2 linked regions of the Neodiprion lecontei genome follow. The protein of the gene in region 1 purifies or fractionates together with the protein of each later gene. This does not show direct contact. Links are inferred from orthologs where the notes say so. Each region holds a gene or a part of one and is shown in the gene's direction. Other genes may lie near its edges.

What was found.
Region 2: the proteins of 3-ketoacyl-CoA thiolase, mitochondrial (region 1) and 6-phosphogluconate dehydrogenase, decarboxylating fractionate together in Homo sapiens (co-fractionation; 3 studies listed by BioGRID). This does not show direct contact. The link is inferred for Neodiprion lecontei from reciprocal best matches to the Homo sapiens genes ACAA2 and PGD.

What each region holds. Positions count from the first base shown.
Region 1 is NC_060264.1:4,772,267-4,782,303, reverse strand, and holds 3-ketoacyl-CoA thiolase, mitochondrial, read left to right. Parts: upstream 1-3,197; 5' UTR 3,198-3,322; coding exon 3,323-3,341; intron 3,342-4,584; coding exon 4,585-4,751; intron 4,752-4,843; coding exon 4,844-4,975; intron 4,976-5,413; coding exon 5,414-5,678; intron 5,679-5,900; coding exon 5,901-6,076; intron 6,077-6,200; coding exon 6,201-6,401; intron 6,402-6,998; coding exon 6,999-7,153; intron 7,154-7,248; coding exon 7,249-7,330; 3' UTR 7,331-7,492; downstream 7,493-10,037. Other genes in the region: protein disabled, read right to left, coding at 1,689-1,725; uncharacterized protein LOC124294757, read right to left, coding at 8,368-8,498, 8,712-8,868, 9,556-10,037. UniProt on the Homo sapiens protein: In the production of energy from fats, this is one of the enzymes that catalyzes the last step of the mitochondrial beta-oxidation pathway, an aerobic process breaking down fatty acids into acetyl-CoA.
Region 2 is NC_060263.1:36,905,521-36,915,300, reverse strand, and holds 6-phosphogluconate dehydrogenase, decarboxylating, read left to right. Parts: upstream 1-3,169; 5' UTR 3,170-3,669; coding exon 3,670-3,680; exon of another isoform or gene 3,681-3,710; intron 3,711-4,216; coding exon 4,217-4,440; intron 4,441-5,014; coding exon 5,015-5,259; intron 5,260-5,451; coding exon 5,452-6,077; intron 6,078-6,219; coding exon 6,220-6,562; 3' UTR 6,563-7,134; downstream 7,135-9,780. Other genes in the region: ADP-ribosylation factor-like protein 5B, read right to left, coding at 27-75, 400-844, 1,945-1,990; RNA-binding protein 45, read left to right, coding at 7,810-8,008, 8,945-9,059, 9,359-9,780. UniProt on the Homo sapiens protein: Catalyzes the oxidative decarboxylation of 6-phosphogluconate to ribulose 5-phosphate and CO(2), with concomitant reduction of NADP to NADPH.

The sequences.
Region 1 (10,037 bases):
ATCGATTTGTTTTTTTTTTTTACGAACCAATGTCAAACAAGCGTACAAATTAATTGCCTTGGCAAAATGGAGGGTTGGAAAAATACGACAGGTGGGTATAATAACATCGTTGGAAAACGGAAACCACGTCATCGAACGGATGTGTATAATGACACAGGGTGCACGAAACCCCATGATAGCTATGTATATATGTATACATACATATGTAATATATAAAACGTCGGCAATGCCTGGAACGTGCCTAAATTGAGATACTCTATCGCTCCAGAGATTGCGGCGAGCCACTTGACCGTGTAAAAGAGAAAGGGAATAAAGAGCAGACGAAGAAAAGGAAAAGGGAAAAGGAAAATGCTGACAATTGATTTCATCTGCTTTCATGGCGTTCGACTAATTCGCTTTCCTCAGCTCGAGAACAGCTTATATGAGGTATCGAGGCTTCGAGGAGTGTATAAAAATTTAACAAATCCGTTCAGGAACATAATCTCTTCATTTTTGAAGAAAGAGACAGAGAGAGGCGTTTATACGTCCTGGGACATACTTATGAGGTCAGATGGTTATTAAAACACAAAATTAAAATAAAAAGTAATAAAAAGGTGAGTGAATAAATAAACAAATGAATGAGGTGAGAATTATTAAAAATCAAAAAAAAAAACTAAAAAAGAGATAGAGAGAGATCGTGAGCAGTATTTAAATTCGGTAAATGCATGGGAAAATAATAATTCATATTTATAATTATTCAGCTTAAATACGTTGCTATGATTATTATGTTTAATGACAGCTCAAGGTCTCGAGAAACATAACAATTCTTAGCTTTTTTGATCAAGCTAATCAAACAAGAAAATGATTTTTCTCGTCAATAAAAGAAGATCGATACAGATTGGCAAAAAAGTATCGCATCCTCGTGTTTTTCGTTTTTACAGAATTAGCTGGTATTCGACAGTTTTTCGCCAAAGAGTTGAAGACAGTGAATGATTTCACAAATTAAAAATACAAAAATTGAGTATCGTTTCGAAAGACAATAAATTTCTAATTCATTTTTGTCATCTTTGTATATTAAACTATAGTCGGTAAACAAAACCGTAAAATGTAGAGCAGTTCCGAAATGGTTTGAGGAGTATAAAATAAAAGAAAAAAAAAAAAGAAAAGGAAATCTTATCGCCGCACTTTGAAAGTGACTGAAATTCGAATGACGGTAAAAGTACAAGTTGAGAACCGTTTGCCGCTTTAACCTGATCGCGAGCGAAAATATCACGCTGGCGCCGTCTGTCAACGAGATATGGAACTAAATCCACGTTGTAGAGTTGGAAATACAGTTGCCTGCCAAAGGCTTACTCCGCCGTAGGTTGAACGAGCGGGCCGCCGAAGGCATTAACTATTTTATAAGATAAAAATTGATCTCCTCGGAATAGAAACGGCTCGGTGTAATTAAACACCTTATACCCACCTGCGGGGTTTCAACTTACCAGACGAAAGGTGCGTTGAACCTACTCGCTTGCGATACGCAACGAGATACCGGAAATAGACGCTGCAACGAAGTATGTAACGAAATGAAAACTGCACGTATAATTTAGCGCAGCGGCGGGTGAACCGAAAAATTAATGCGAATTGTTGTTACACGGATGCGATATCGTTTGATGAGTAAATTTTGAAATTCGAGTGGGAATTTTTTCTGTTGCAAATCTACTCACACTTGCAGGGGCTGTTCTTCTTCCTTAGGGTCTGCATCAGGCCACCGGCGTAGCGACGTCCGTTCAAAAAGCCTGCAATTTTTGCGTCTCGGTGTTCCTGAGCTTGCGGTTCTCTCTTTTTTCACGTCCCTAGTCTCCTCCTGTTCACCGATTCATCGCTAAGCTCGATACCGCAGGTCCGAGAGCCCTGAATATCCTCGGAGTTTCGCCGCCTTAACCGTTGATCGCGAAAAGGGTGAGGATTCGCACGGTGTGTCACAGGCACAATCACAATAACCATACCGCGTCACAACCACCGAGCGAAATTTCAACCCCGTGGGTAAAAACAATCGAGGAATATCGCGCGCGGCTAAATCGCGGGACTTTCGCTCGCGGGGCCCAAAATTTCGGGCTGGCCTGAAGGCCCGATAATCAAGCCCGCGGCACGGCTGTATAAGCGTGTGGAAATTTAGGGGGATCTGACAGCTGCCTGCCGGCACTGGCCTTCCTTCCATGCCCGCAACCCCATTGATCAATAATACAGTCGAGCGGTAGTACCGAGCGGATCCGTCTCGGCATGCACGGTATAATGTTCGAACCGCGAAAGCGTCGCCTGTCCAATCCGCGTCTTCGACGATTGTTCGCGAATTTTTTTCCGCGAGTGAGAGAATTCGAGAGCGTGGATCAGCCGCGGCTAGAGACGAATTCCGCAAGATATTTCGGGGCGAGACGCCGCGCAAGCTGATTGCACCGGGAAATTACAAAATGGCCACTGCTTTGGCCCACGCGGTTTATTGAAATCAATTGGTGAAATAATTCGCTCCTATACACACCGCATCGCCGTAATACCGTTGCGGTGAATTCGACCGCTTAGCGATTACGCAACGCGGCTACGTTTGTCCGACGAGGTGCATTGAAAACGCCATCCGAAGGCGCGCCTTTTCTTCCACACAATTTCAAATTGCGTTCCAAATCACGCGATCCACGCCTTCTTTCAATTGTATACACACAGGTATGCTTGAGGTGGGTTGTTTCATAGACTCCCTGCACGCTGTCCGATTTATTTCCTCTCGCATTGTCGAGTCAACCACGGGAATATAATCTCCCGTTTTATCGCTCCGATTTTTCGCTAAATCTTCACGTATGCGCGTCTTTTTTATCCGTCGAGGAGATAACGGAGTAGATCCGTCGTACGCAGGTCACGTATAATACGTGTCGGTAAGTTACCGACCGCGTCTAAAACGGCTCGATCATCCGAATATCAACGGACCGCAAATTTTTGATTAAAAAATGGTACAACGATAACTTTAAATTTAATATATTATTGCCAGTTAGTAAAAACGAAAAAAAAATTAATAAAAAATAAAAGAAAAACACTGTTCAATCAAGTTTAAAGTAAAAAAAATAAGCAATGTTTGAAAAACCTTTTAAAACCACGACCAGGAATTCATCAGCTGAATTTAGCTGCCGGAATTTCCGCAACGGAATTCAAGGCGCTAGCGTAGCCGTGAAGATACGTATGCGAAACACAGTAAACGACGTTTCATATTGGATAGTGGGGAGCCTGCGTGGACTTTGGACCTTTGATGGCTTGTAATAAGACTCAACTTCTCTGATTAACGCGTTAGTCCAACGTAGGTCAGAAAACAGAAATCATGTCGATCGCCACCAAAGGTACGATACTTTCTTTTATTATATCAATTTCGGTCAAGTCCCCAAAAATTGTCTGAGTTGACGAATTAGGGCGTTTCGGAGGTTCTTCTCAGAGCCACTCGAGTGGCAGACTCGTCTCGACGGCTGGATTAACTCACAGAACTGTTCCTTTTCTCTGTTGGCTCAACGAGTGTAAACTCACCATCGAGACTCGTTTCGATCTTTCTATTTTTCATTTTTCCGTCACTCCCACTCATTGTCAGTCGAGGTTCTTCGATTAAACCTTTTATTCCTTGACCGATACGCGGAACGCGTTTGAGCCAATATTTTGACCGCCCGATTCGGAAGCATTTCCATTTTGATCAAGTGAGACTTGTTATTTGAAACTCATTAACTGTCATTCAAATTGTAACGTAATCTTGGCGTGACTTTATTTTAACTCGAATGATATATTATGTGTAATGTAACATGAGTTTGCGCAATGTTTCGAACTCTAGACTATGGAATTTTATATTGCGCCACAGCAAACGGAACGATTTTTTTTAACTTTATTATTTCATTCAGATTCTTACTTTACTCCAATTGACTTCAGACGCGAACTTCCAGAGATAATTTTGATCAACCTCACATTTTATCAAACGTTACGTGTGAAACGTATTATTCGAAATTGTGACCACGAGTCGTATTATTTGTTTAAGCTTCGTTCCGTTTGCAGATGTTCTTGTGATTCAATTTTAGCACCATTTTATCCACACCTTTTGCACGTAATAGAAATAATAATACACGTTGAAACGTATCGTGTATTGTTGTAACTACTTTTATTATCTAGAGTATTTAATTATACCCCGTGGACTTTGCTATGCTGAACGCGTTCCGATACTAGATATCAGAGATTATTTTCAATAACAACATAAATTGAAGATAAAAATTGCGTCAATGATTACACGTTCAAATTTTACAGTTCAAAATTGAGTAATCTGAAGATATTATTTCACATATTTGCGGAGCAGCGATCGTTCAATTTTCATTAATATTCAAACGTTTGTAACCGTTTGTTTTTAAAAGTAAAATACTACCGCATCCGTTCGATTTTTTTATACCTGCTAAAATTCACTTCGATTGTCGAGCTTGTGATTAAAAAAAAAAAAAAAAAAAATACCATCCAATCGACTACTCGGAATAACTATCCTCGTTCAATTTTCAAAATCGACAAAGCTCTCGAGATCATATATATTAATCAATAACCGTATTATCGTTGTTTAAGGAATATTCATCGTCGCCGCGAAGCGAACCCCTTTCGGGACACTGGGTGGTAAATTCGTGAACAAGTCTGCGATCGAGCTTCAGGAAGTGGCTGCAAAGGCAGCGATAACAGCAGGTGGATTGAAACCTGAACAGATCGACAGTGTCGTAATCGGAAACGTGTTGGTGGTACGTAAAATTTGACTCGCGAATGTTGCGTTGCGGTAAACGTTGTCTCTCCATAAAATCATCTCTCAAATCTCATTCCAACACGTTTCCAGAACACATCGTCTGACGGAGCATTTCTCCCAAGACATGTTCTCCTCAAAAGTGGAATTCCTCTGGACAGACCCGCCCTTGGAATAAATCGTCTATGCGGATCCGGATTTCAGTCCATTGTTAACGGAGCTCAAGTGAGTATATAAATTACGGTGTTTCAAAATAAAAAATAAATTTTTATAAATTAATTCCTAACAATTCACTCTTTCGAACGGTTGATGGTTATTTGAGGAATAAATTTATCATAAAATGATAAGAGACCTTTTTTGAAGAGCGTTCAATTCTCTGCAAAAATATTTTTGCGAGTTTTCTGTACGAAGCATCGTTAGCCAGTTATAAAAATCAGGAGGAGCAAAAACCATTTTTCACATGTCATTCTTATGGAAATTGGAATGTTAATATTAAGAGCTCGAATTATAACAGGTGTATTTTTATATCTAAATGAAACTTTTGACCCTTTGGTAAGAAAAAATTTAAAAAAATTCTTTTTTCAAACACTCTGATATAAATGGAGTACAAAAATAAAGAGATAGAAGCGCAAACTCTGATTTCGAATCGTTTTTGGTATTCAGAACATCCTCGTCGGAGATTCCCATGTAGTTCTCACCGGCGGAACGGACAACATGAGTCAGGCACCTTTCATCGCTAGGAACATCAGGTTTGGGACAACATTGGGTCAAAATTACTCACTGGAAGACAGTCTGTGGGTGGGATTGACCGACACGTACTGCAAAATGCCGATGGCGATAACTGCCGAGACTCTCGGCGCTAAGTACGGAATAAAGAGGGAAGAAGTCGACGCGTTTGCTCTCAGAAGCCAGAAGCTGTGGAAGGCGGGTGAGTAGAGAATCTTCGATCGTCAAGATCGAGGAGAAGCGCGAGGTTGGAGTTAGCGACTAATCGTCGTAGAAAAGATCCGCAATTTTGCAAAATTATAACGACCAATTTGAAGGGGTTGGTTGAGTTTGCAGAACAGAATCGTGTTCTCGTCACATTGCAGCCTCTTTGAAAATTGAACTCAAAGGATAATTGATGACTTGAGGTGTGATTCTTTCACAGCCAATGACGCCGGGTACTTCAAGGAAGAATTGGCCCCTGTCACCGTTCAGGTAAAGAGGAAGGAAGTCGTCGTCAACGTCGACGAACATCCTCGCCCTGAGACAACGCCCGAAGGACTCGCCAAGCTGCCGACTATCTTCAAGAAGGACGGACTCGTAACTGCCGGCACAGCATCGGTGGGTGAATTCGATTTTAGAAGTTCTCTTGAAGAAGGATAATCTTCACCGGCATGGTTGATGTACAAGCTCATTTTCTACCGAGTCTAGCGCCGTTTCGTTAAATGTTTGAATCGTTCTTCAGGGAATCTGCGACGGCGCTGGAGCCGTGATTGTGGCCAGTGAAGAAGCCGTCAAGTCCCAGGGTCTTAAGCCTTTGGCCAGACTCGTCGGCTACAGCGTCGTCGGTGTCGAACCCAGCATCATGGGTATCGGACCTGCTCCGGCGATCAAAAACCTTCTCAAGGCCACCGGGAAGACGTTGAACGACATTGACATTGTCGAGGTAATTTTACCCTCTCAGTTTTTTCCAGCTGGTCATTTCCGTGGAATTTCTACGGACGTGAAATCATTAGTTTCAATCAGAAGGGACCGAAAATCATGAAAAATTCGTATTGAAGCTTTACATCTGATTCTAATCGTTCCGCATGATTTGTACTTTTCGTTATCAATCACTAACCGAGTAAATCGGTGATCTCTGAAAGTGATAATACCGTTGGAACAACTATCCGAACAGAATCGTACTTATCGGGGGAAGGGTGGGGGGCAACTTGGGCGGTTTAAATCATTACTCTCAATTAAAAAGCTATAAAGACTTTCTGGTAACGGCTAGAAAACTAATTTTTATTTTCTACGTAGAACTATATTTTTCGATTGTGGTGAAAAATGAAAATAGTTAAGCACTGAGCGGTGACGGGAACTAAAAATTTCTCTCGAAAACAGATGACTGTAAAAAAAAAAAAATGAAAATGAAAACAAACAAACAACGTTTTATGAATCTAAGACTCGCGTATCAGGAATGGAATGTGAAATGGTATGACAGGTTCTTTGCCTTTCGTATAACCGAGCGATTCCCATGATCAATGCTTTTCCTTTTTGCCAGATCAACGAAGCCTTTGGTGCGCAAACTTTGGCCTGCGCCAAAGACCTTGACCTGGACTTGAGCAAGCTTAACGTGAACGGCGGTGCCATCGCCTTGGGACATCCTCTCGCTGCTTCCGGATCGAGGATCACCGGACATCTCGTTCACGAGTTGAGGTGAGTGATCGACGTTTAAACGTAGACTCGGCATTTCGATCGGTATTACGTGATACTGACCAAAGACTAATTTCTCGACTTCCTTACTTCTGCAGGAGAAGGAAGGCCAAGTTTGGAATCGGTTCGGCGTGTATCGGCGGCGGACAAGGCATTGCTCTTCTCATCGAGGCTGTTTGATCGAGTGTTTGATTTTCTTTAGGAAAATGCAATGCAACTACTCTGCACTAGCTGAAAATTTTTGATAAATGTGATCGGTTGAGTTATTGAAGCGCAATTTATACATGTTATACACATAATATAGAACTGTAATTTTTATACTTCCATTATACGATACAGTAACCCAATAAACAATGCCAGTATATAAAGCGTATGAAATTCGTCAAAAAAGAACGTTTTATTCTGTAGAATAAACGTGCAGCACCTACGTATTTTATTGCGAAGAATGTCCGCCGTGATTTCGGTTTATTAAACGTTTTTGGTGGACGTCTTACGATAGTTGTTCATATGCAAATTTTATACGTTTGAAACCAAACATTTATAAATCGTATCTCAATTTGTTGATAAAACGTATCGAAAATCCGTTATTTTAATATTTATGGTAATCGTCTAATATTTGGATATTGATGACTACTAAGAGACGTTTCGCAAGTACGTTTTAACACTCAAATTATGAAGGAAATTTTTTCTATTAAAATGTGTTGACAATGTCCGTTTAACTAACGTGACAAAATGTTTTCTGTTAATGACGCTTTAATCTTTCATTATTTATGTCTAAACGAATATTATACAGTGTTAAAAAACGTTTTTAATTGGACCTCTAGACTTGAATACATAACGTATCTTGGATGTGTAATTGAAAGCGTATATAGTACACTGCTATAGAGGAAGATCATTTCACGTTAGCTAGAAACAAGTCTGGGTTGAGTTAGAAAGCGTACGAATTTAGTTTATATATGTGAATCGATTTTATTATATCTTTGTTAGAACGTTACACAAATATCTTATATCTATAAATACTCATTTATCAAAAAAAAAGGTACATCTTGTAGCTCATAGACACAGCTCAACCTACACTATACTTTCGTCTTCACGGTAGTTACAACTAACAGAAAACGCTAAGAATATTACACTTATATCAGAAATATTTATATGCCTGTATGATTTGTACTTTTATATGACTGTTTTTAAAATTAGTTGACGTTTACCACAGTTTCTTAGCCCTTCTTTCGTACATAGGCATGCCGTGATCGAGCTAGTTTTAACCAGTCTTTCACGGCACACGAAACACTGGTTTCGGTTGCATCACCAATTTCCTTCTTGCCAAGAAAGGTTTGTTTCACAGCCTCTGAGAAAAAATACATCAAAAGGAAGGTACAATATCACGATATTGATAACTGATAAGGAATAATTTCAATGTAAATTGTGATGAATCTCGAATATATTGGGAAAAAAGTTAACAGTTTGCATAATTTGAATAATAATGTGTGAATAATATTGTTTTCACACGATAAATCCAAGTAATAACTGTTTCTCGAAAATTTCATGAATTATTCATTACCGTAAACAGTTTCCATTGTCAATGTCTTTTGAAATGGGACTTTGTCCCTCCCTGCCCAATTGAATTGCATCGCTAATTCGTTTGTGAGTAGTGACCTCATTATAGCCAACACACATTGGCGACCGCTTGTCCCTCCAACAGAAGCCAGTTTCCCGGTCTGCAACAAAATACTAAAATGAATGAATGTCGAATTGAATTCAAAATATTCTTACTGTTATCAACATCGATAACAATTTTGACTAGTTGGAGATTGTCGATTCCTAATATTTTTTCAGCATTTTTTAACGTTAACCCTCTCGATCAGACCGAGACCGATTTCATGTTGAATGAAAATCTCTCACCATATTGATATTTCGATGGGTGAAAGCAGTTTACCTCAGGGTTTAGGAGTATCTATAAGGCCATCTGACCTTGCTTAATGGAACTATGCAGTTAGAACCCTGACCTTGCGACCGATACAGTTTTATGAAGCCTCAAAGTGCGTGTTGCGTAGAAGCAACATACGGTCCGAGAGGGTTAAAACGTTACGAACCGCAATTCTGTATGCCTGTAGTAATTTTCATTATTCCTTTGCAGTCAACACATACCGAGCGTATTCTTCAATGAGAGACAACCCCCTCCCTAGTGCTAAGCCAACTCAGGCACATGACGCGTACGTGAAGTTCGGTCGAGTGGAGACTAACATGGCCACTGGCATTCTATCCCCTCCCGGCCGAGCCTCATGTGCCTGTGTTGGTTTGCGCTAGGGAGGGGGTTGGCCCTCATTGAAGAATACGCTCGGTATTAGTACCTATCCGTATGTCATGACATACATATTTTGAATATGATTGCAAGGTCTACTCACTAAATAAGTTCGATGCTCTTCGGATTTCAGGATATTTTCGAGGTTGGAGAAGTCTTCCATGGAGTTAAGAGGAAGTTTTGGGAATTCGGCTGGTTTCTTTGTTACGTCGATGCTGACTTCCTTCTGTTTTGAGAAGATTTTACGTAGTAGCAGATGGTTTTGTTCAGTGTAGGATTTAATGTGTTCTAAATACTGCAGAGTTTTTTCTTCAAAGGTATTCTGTTCGCGTGATGTGGTCGGGGTTGAAGGTTCAAGTTGTGAAAAGGATCTTGATAAGTCATATTGCGTGGTAGACCTGATGATCCTACTAGAAATGTTTCTATTTGATGTTTCATATCCAGACAACTGATTCGGTGACTCATGGGAATTATCATTATACTGGTGCTGTACGATCTTGTGGGCCAAGTTTTTCTTTGGTGTCTGATTTTTGGTAGATCCTTTGGCTGAGTTAATGTAGCGAGTATTCTTATTACGGTTAGAAG
Region 2 (9,780 bases), on another chromosome or scaffold:
GGCAGTTTAAGCTTTCACGATTTGGGTCATGTCTTCTTCAGTCTACCAACGATCCACTCGAGACCCTGGTATAGCCTATAAAAAATTTTTTTCATTATTATCGAACACAGAGTGTTTACCTATGCTAATGTAAGCAAAGCATAAAACCAGGTAAGTTGATATATAGCCAAGATAAGGTTGTAAAGATGCAAGGACAAATATTGTATCACATGGTAGCTATGTACAGAATTAATTCATCTGGCAATATTCACTCCATACGAAAAATCGCCTTTAGTTTGAAAAAAAAAAAAAAATACAAATAATATTATATCTACGACATATTCTGTGTAAAATTGAAAACAAACTCAGTAAACAAGATCCGATTGTCAAGGATAAAAACAATTTCCATGAAACACTTGCCCTTCTCCTGTAAGTGCGCAACAAGTTTGTATGTGCCACTGGTGCTTTTTAATCGACGTAAGATCCAACTGCCGGGATATTTCGGCAGCACTCATGCTTCCCTTCAAGTCTTGTTTATTAGCATAGACAAGAACGTTGGCTTTGCTCAACTCTTCATGATTCAACATGGAATATAGTTCCTCTCTAGTAACGCTTAATCTTTCACGATCTGTACTATCGATCACCATTATAATGAATTCGGTATTTGTGTAGTAAGTTGACCAGGCGGCTCGCAAACTTTGCTGACCACCCAAGTCCCACATTATAAAGTGAATATTTTTCCAAACAACTTCTTCGACGTTAGAACCAATTGTTGGTGACGTATGGACAACCTCGTTCATCAAAAATTGATACAATATCGTTGTTTTACCCGCGTTATCCAGTCCAACCATTACGATTTTGTGTTCTGAAATAAAACCAACAATGTATAATTAATTATTTGTTTATGTCCTAGACTTGACAGATTTTACAAGCCATAGTTCAAAAATTAAAGTAGAATTAATTGTATCGTAAACCAATTCATGATTAGCAGTCAATTACAACACAGAAGGTATAGTAATTTGAGAACTTAGAAATAAAGGTCAACTACCGTCTCATATTTATGATTACACGTTTTTCAGGGTCTATTCTGATACACCAACATCTGTGCACCTGGCAGATAAGGTAAAACATAATAGGCCTGGTATGTAACAAAACGAAAAAAAGTCTAAAAAATGTAACACAAGGACATACATTCGATTTCAAACGAATAGCTTGTATTCTACTCTATTCGCAACAACATAAGTTAGTAACTACTTTCATGGATTTATTCAAGATAGAAGGAAAAAAATGAAAACCGATTTATAAACAATTGTAAGAATTACGAGAGTGAGCTTTTAAGCAAGAATAATATAGATTCAATCTTATAATCTACTGCTCAAAAATTATAATGTTGGGTGAATACGTAGTGACAAGCAAATAGCCTGACCTTGTGGCGCTAGTGAAAGTTGTGAAAGAAAGTATTCGTCGCATAAATAATATGCCAAGTTTCTATAGATCTACATATTGTGAAAATAGAGTTTCTGATCGTTCCATTTCTTCATTTGGCGAGTGATTCGTGACCACACTTTCGTGATAATCATATTGGCGAGAGGTGAATGACAAACGGATGATTAAAAATAAGGTGGAGTCATCACATTTCCAAAATTCAAAGTCAATATTGTCACTACGGATACGTAGTAGAAATGGCATTTGGAGGAGTTGATTTTCACTGCTTTTTTGCTTTTACAAGAGGTTTTTCGGGCAAGGAATAAAGACAGTTTAATTATCTGTCCCTGTGAAGGGTGTGTCAGAAATAGAAACACGTAGATTCTGAACGAAAGTTGATAGCGATTTATATCTGTAAGTGTCTCAAATGGGTCGTTCGTTGTAGACATGTGGTGTATTATTACTTACAATCACGAAAACGACTCGTGATCGACACAAAGGAATTGAATTGGCAATGGCATTGGGTATTTCGTTGCTTACCTTCGTTCCCAAACAGACTCCACAGTTTCGAGAATAAAAGTCCCATATTGTACAAGGTTTGAGCGTCAGGTTTTGTGTTTACTCAATATTTACAGCGAGATTATCTTTCAATCACGTAAACTGATCACTAGATACTTCGTGGCGTCGGATCTTGAGTTATATCTCATATTCACAGGGTTATGTGCAACTATTTTGGCTGGCTGTCACGACGAAACTGTATTAATCTCCGTTTCTCAACCTTCCTGAGACGCGGAACACGTCACAAATGTATACAAATATCAACAGGAGTAATACGAATGACGTTAAACGTGAAAAAATACGCAAGTATGCTCTAATTCAACGAGGCCAAAGTAAACCCCGACATATTGCACTTTCTCTTGTACTTCCTCAGACCCAAAAGAACAACCAGTCCCCTTTGGGAAGAACTCCGGACGATGACGTTATGCAGGGTTTCTGATCACTGAGTGGCCACGACCTTTGTAGTCTGTGCGCAGACGCGAGAAATGTATTCACCCGCGTAATCCTCGCGTTATGTGGTCTGCATATATACCGTTTACGCACTGATGATTCCGGCTGACGTACACGGCTGATTATCAGAAATTTGTCACCTTGGTAGAATGCTTCCTCGGAATTGAACCATCTGGTCAACCTGCTTCCGGTTTTCGGTTTGCAGAAATCTTTCTTCCATTGGATGTGGCAAATGTGGTGAAATGCAATGAGAAAACATGTTACGTCATTTCAGTTATTTCCATTACTCATTTCCTGAGTACAAAAAGGGCGTTCGTACATTTTTTAAGAATAAAAATTCCAAAATGAATTTACGAAGAATCGGAACGCGAATTATGGTTGAATGGTGTGGGCAGCGCCTTGTGATAGACAACTCAAATGACGAGTCTGTTGCTGGATTGCCATCGCTCAGCACGCCAGGCGATGATTCAAATGTTGCCACCTTCTTTCATAGACTTTTGCTCAGCGATGAATCACCGTTAACAAGATAAAACGATCGTACAAATTGAAAGTCGAAAATAAAAGGTTCAAGATTTGCGTATTTATAAGTACGTTGGTGTATTAACACGAATGAAAAGCAAAGAAAAAGAAAGCACCACGTATCGACCCTGGCCGACACATGCTTGCAGATGTCGCCGTATGTCGGTTGCACGACTTACATTGATGACATCGCAGACTTAATTGAACTGTCAAAATCCTAACCTACTGTTGTAAGCCTATAGTATAGTACGAGTTAATATCTCTTCATCCAATTGTTGAAGTATTAAAGTAAAATCGAAGTGTTATCTACCAGAGTTAGGAAATTTCAGAAAATCGCACCCAGTGCGTGAGATCAACCAACAATCGATTCTCCCGACCCACTGACTCGTCAACTAATCGATGTCGGGCGTAATCGGGTGTAATTGTGGAGCGTGACTTTCAAATTTTACTTGGAAGTGATTTTTGATAGGAACTGATGGCGTAATCACTCTCACAAATCGTGGCTCGATAGTTAACGGTGAGATAATTGAAAGTTAACGCTGACCTCGCTGGTTCGCCGATTGGCTCTTACGCGGTGGTCTGACTGAATTACTAACTCGGCTCTGGCCCGATCCGTTCATAACCCAAGACGTCCTTTGCCCGACGGACGCTCGTCGTATACGCCACTTGTTGCTAGTTACACACTTGCTTCGGCGGAGGTTTAACCTGTTTCGTGCTCTCTACAGAAAAATCACCATCATGACAGAGCCGTAAGTAACGATTACTACTTGCTACTACAGGTAATTACTAGGAAAATCGGAGTGCACGATCATGCATTTAATAGCCGGCGGCAGTCGCGAACCGTAGCTTTAATAATCGTCTTTCACATGTTTGACCTACTTTAATGCAACGTTTTCCGTACATTTACCTCCCGCGCGAATCACAGTTCCTGTTCATGTTGCGCTACACCATTACGAAACGCCATGTTCTACTAGTAATCAAAGATAATCGTATATCCGAAATGTCGGTCATAGTCCAGCACTGTAATATCCGGGCTACCTCAAGGGCAGTCAATGACGAATGCAGTAATTTATCTGCCATGCAATGTTACTACTACTCACAATTAGAAATTTTCGTAGAACACAAAAATTGTTTATCACCATTTATTGAATAAATTTTACACTATCTTTTGATTGAATTTGTTTTGAAAGTTCTAATTTTCTTACATATCTTGTTGAATGCCGAATGAACCACAAATGTACAGTTTTTGTTCATGCTCAATCTTGTCATTCTCATCTTTTTACAGTGTCGCTGATATTGCCCTTATCGGTCTTGCCGTTATGGGACAAAACCTGATCCTGAACATGAACGACCATGGGTTTGTCGTTTGCGCTTACAATCGTACGACAGATAAGGTGAAATCGTTCTTAGAAAATGAAGCCAAAGGCACCAAAGTAGTGGGTGCCTTTAGCTTGGAGGAAATGGTTTCCAAGCTAAAATTGCCACGTCGTATTATGTTGTTAGTCAAAGGTTCGTATCCTTTTATAACAGATCTTAGTATCATGATGGAAAAATTATGAACATATAACCAGCTCTAATAAAGGCAGTAATCGTAGTTCTGAAAACATTAGTGCTGATGACATTCAAGCCTAAAAATCACTTGAATTCTAAGGATATCGCTAAAACGTTGTTTTTTGTCTACATATATGCACATGACGTCACAAAGTCACATTTACAATTCGTATCGAGCTTAAATTATGATAATGCTAATGTACTTAGTAATCTCAATGGCTAGAATGTTTTCAGTTACATCATGATTGTTATGTAAGATTGCTTGAAACTCTCAAAAAATACCCATCGAGGTGAAACTTATACACCTTGAATTCGAATCATATGTGCGAAATTCTTCCGTCAGCAAGCAGAAAGCATCATTATTGTAACAATAAAGCACTAACCGGCTTTTAATATCACTAAATCTCGGTACCAATCAAACTCTATGAAATATTAAATTGTGCGAAAAAATGTCTGCTGTAACTTCAAAGCCTTCAGCACATAACAGTTAATACAGCTAATACAACATATAACACTTGTATTCTATTTCCAGCTGGTCCAGCTGTCGATGGGTTTATAGATAAACTGGTACCACTTTTGTCATTGGGAGACATCATTATTGACGGTGGTAATTCTGAATACCAAGATACTCAAAGGCGTACGGAGGAACTGGAGAAGAAGGGGATCCTCTTCGTTGGCAGTGGCGTTAGTGGAGGAGAGGATGGGGCCAGGTATGGGCCATCCCTCATGCCAGGTGGCAATCCCAAAGCATGGCCTCATATCAAGCCTATTTTCCAGGTAATTGCCAATCAAGGGCTAGGCGAATAGATATTGCTTTATTTATAGTTGGAAATTGCCTCAAAAAAATTTGTGTGTCTAGCGTCTTGACTCTTTGTCATAAAATTATTGCTGTCACTACTCAGAGAATCATGAATATAAACTACATTCGGGACAGTAATTCGAAATGTTAATACACTACGAATATTTCAGTCGATCTGCGCCAAGAGTAACGGTGAGCCATGTTGCGATTGGGTCGGAGAGACAGGGGCTGGACACTTTGTGAAAATGGTTCACAACGGTATAGAGTACGGAGACATGCAACTGATCTGCGAAGCTTATCACATCATGAGAAACGGGCTTGGTCTGAACCCACAGGAAATGAGTGACGTTTTTGGCGAGTGGAACAAGGGGGTGCTTGATTCTTTCCTAATTGAAATTACCCGAGATATCTTGAAGTACAAGGATGGGAAGGGCTATCTTCTCGAAAGAATCAGAGACACAGCTGGGCAGAAGGGTACAGGAAAGTGGACGGCTATCGCTGCCTTGGATTACGGGATTCCTGTCACGCTAATTGGAGAATCAGTGTTTGCAAGGTGTCTCTCCTCGCTCCAAGGTGAGAGGATTGAAGCTAGCACCGTTTTGGAGGGTCCAAACGCTGTTTACCAAGGAGATAAAAAGCAATTCCTCGAACATCTTCGGAAAGCGCTGTATGCTTCGAAAATCATTTCGTATGCTCAAGGATTCATGCTGCTAAGAGAAGCTGCTAAAATTCACAACTGGAATTTGAATTATGGTGGAATTGCGCTCATGTGGAGAGGTGGATGTATCATCAGAAGGTGAGAGAATTCTTTAATTGATTGCCACCCTCTCTGTAGATGCCACGAATTGGCCCGATCCAATTTGAAAGAAAAATCATCATCCTAAATGAAGGTAAACGTACGAAAATGGTTATCAATGTATTATGGATTATGATTACAGCGCCTTTTTGGGAAACATCAAGCAAGCCTTCGACAAGAATCCAAAGCTGACCAATCTGTTGCTTGATGATTTCTTCGCGAAAGCAATGAAGGAGTGCCAGGCGAGTGCTAGAGTGACGGTGGCAACAGCTGTAACTCTTGGAATACCGACTCCTGCTCTGTCGACTGCCTTAGCATTTTACGATGGGTTTAGAACAGCGCGTCTTCCTGCAAACTTACTGCAGGCTCAGCGTGATTACTTTGGAGCCCACACTTATGAGCTACTTGGCGCGGAAGGAAAATTTGTTCATACTAACTGGACAGGCCACGGAGGCAATGTATCTGCGTCTACCTATGACGCGTAAATAACGAGTTATGAACAGCGCTGGTAGTTGTTCATACCAAAAGAGAAAGGGCTCTCCGTCATGCAAGACAATTACCGGTTAGCTTTTATTCTCCCTGTCATTTTACGGATGCGGGTTTGTCACCAGTTACGATTGCTGAAATGAGGTGGTTTTATTTTTCTGCAATCGTTTTAGGATACAAATTTCTATCTTTTTTTTTTCGTCGTAAATCAAATCAAGTGCACTTTGTATGAAATTTGGATTGTAACGGCTACATTTAGGGCACTTGGAGTAATAAATAATCGGCATAGGAAATATTTATACGGTATCGTTTATTACTCTTAAGACTGTTGCAACATTCCGAATACATTACGAATACATATTATAGTTGTTTCATAAGTTTGTACATTTTGCGATAGTCATTTAAATTATAATATTGTAACAAAATAGATCAATGTATGAAACATTTGTTTGCAATATAATTTTAGTACGAAAATCAGTTAAAGTCAATCAGATCAGCGTATGGAAGCGGAAAAAGTGAAAATTTTAATCGAAACGTTGTTCAACTGAATAAAACTGTTTTATTCTTACTACTTCTACGCCCTGCAACATTTTTGCGTGTCCAGCCTATAAGCCCCGTTGCGCGCATACAGATGACACAATCATTTCGCCGAATAACGGTATAAGTCTAAATCCCGAAATTTTGTAATGAGAAAAGCAACAAGTTGATAAGTTCGCTGAAAGAATAATTAACCTAGGTGTAATAAGGCTAATTTCAGCTGAAGAATCGAATCTCATTAAGTATCTACGCAAGAGAAGTAATTAAATTTTACCATCTATTGTATATTCTATCGCTTTCATTACAGTACATATAATAAATTATTCCATATCTGCGCATATTTCTGACCGGTACCAAAATTACACGACCTGTAATCGATGGCACATAACGCGCACAACACTGTCACGAGCAAACCGGGTACCCGGCAGCTTTAACTGATTGTAAGTGATAACAATCTCCGGTTTACCGTTGTAAAAACTGTCGGCAGTTTGATGCGTGAATGGTATTGAAGGGATGAAATACGGAGCCGAAGTCGTAGACTCAGCGATGGTACATCACGTTTCATGTAACACATGTGTCACATAAATTGTACCGTTACGTGTTGCCTTTGATGTGTCGGCCCTGAAGTCGTTGAATTTTAGTTCTCGTTGGCAGCGTGGAAGGCAGGCAACAGCAGCCGCAGCCAGTATATTCACATTTCACTAGTAAAATGGCTGATCACAGAGACCGCGAGGCGTATTATTCTCAGTCGGATCCGCGTTCGAAGAACGACGACCCACCGAATTCAAGATTGTTTGTAATCTGTCATAAAAGTTTGGAGGAAGATGACCTCAGGAAGGCGTTCGAAAAGTTTGGAAAAATTGAAGATATTTGGGTTGTTAAGGATCGAAACACTGGGGAAAACAAGGGTAATTGGATAAATCAATAACTTTCACTAGCGTCTCATTTTCGGTTATTTACATATCATGTCATTTCACCAATTGCATATTTTCACCTCTCAGTATTTTCATCCCAACTGTTCTGCGTTTTGAATGCAATCGGAAACTTCTGTTCGAATGCCGCCGGCGTTTACCGATAACTATAGTACCTAGTGTGGCTAGCCTCTAAACTTTTCGACCAGTTTTAGAACTTCCGCTAATTAATACTTACACAACGTGATTTCGGCACCAAACCTCCAAATTATGCATCCTATTTGCACATATGGCTCAGATCACGTGATATTATATCGTATCTTACTAGTTTTAGTTTATCCAAATTATCCAATACTGAACCTTTATGCATTGTATCATCTTTTTATGAGAAGCTTTTCACTGCATACGAATTTTTATCTCGCACAACCCTACTGTGCCCTGGAGATTTTATTGATAACGTAATTTTATTGTTACAAAGCAACTGATCCCCTCAAACAATGTCTTACGAAATTTAAACGTCTTCAAAACATCACCTGTAATTAATCAGATGCATATAATTTAAATGTAGAGATTGCATACAATGGTGTCATCCATACATGAGTTTTCAATGTCGACTCTACTTTCTTAGAAATTGACCTTTTATCAGATGAGCATAATTATCTTCAATACTGTACTCCACCCACAAATTTAACAACTAAGTTTACCGATTTTCTCTCTTGGAAGTTGATCTATTTATGAGTCTTGCTTATATTTGATAGACGTAATATCTTTGAATTAACATAGACTGGAAATCCAAAGATGAGAGAGAAAACAAATGAATCAATCAACTAAAAATTGTTTAAAAATCCGTTTGATCGACCTTAAAATAAATTTAAGGTATCAAGATGTTTTCTTTGCAATAATTTCATATTCTTATTGTGTTACTTTGTGCAGGGGTCACATATATTAAGTTTTCGAAGACATCGGAAGCTGCTTTTGCATTGGAAGAAATGAATGGAAAAATGTTGGGAAGCGTTGGTCGACCAATTAAAGTTATGATCGCATCTAAGTGAGTATAATAAAGCTATGCTACTTGAAAGTGATGTTAACTAACATGAAAATTTTAGATGAATTTTCATCAACATTACGTGCAAAAGTTAAATATTGAACATTTGTAAGAATGCTGTAAGTTGAATCTGTACGAAGTGAATTTTAACATGTGAAAATTTTATTGTACTCTGAAAATACTGTTGTACAAGTCATCGTGAACTGTACGAGATGAATAATGGGACAAATATTTCCTATCCAGCTGTAATAATATTTTGAATAAGATGAAGTGAAATAAAGTTTTGCATAATGTATTTTCAGCCGAGACCAAGGATCTGTCAGAGAAACAAACGAGGAGGAGAGGTGGGTACGTTTGTTTTGTGTGCTACCAAAGTCAATGACTGATGGAGAACTGCAGCAGGAATTTTCTAAATTTGGTCCTATTGATTACGTAACGGTAGTCAAGGACAGGATTACAAATGAATCGAAAGGTTTCGGCTATGTCAAATTCAGAAAGGTATCAAGTGCAGCTAAGGCATTCGAAGAGTGTGACAGAAAGTACAAAGCTGTCTTTGCTGAGCCAAAGAAGCCCAAACCGGATCATAGCGATTTAAAATATAACAATGGTATCTCTGCAAATTATGATAGCCATGGAGGAGGATACGGCACCAGTAATTTTGGCAAAAGTAGCATCAGCCTGGAGATTGCAACTAATTATCCGAATGCAGAAGGTTATACTCGAT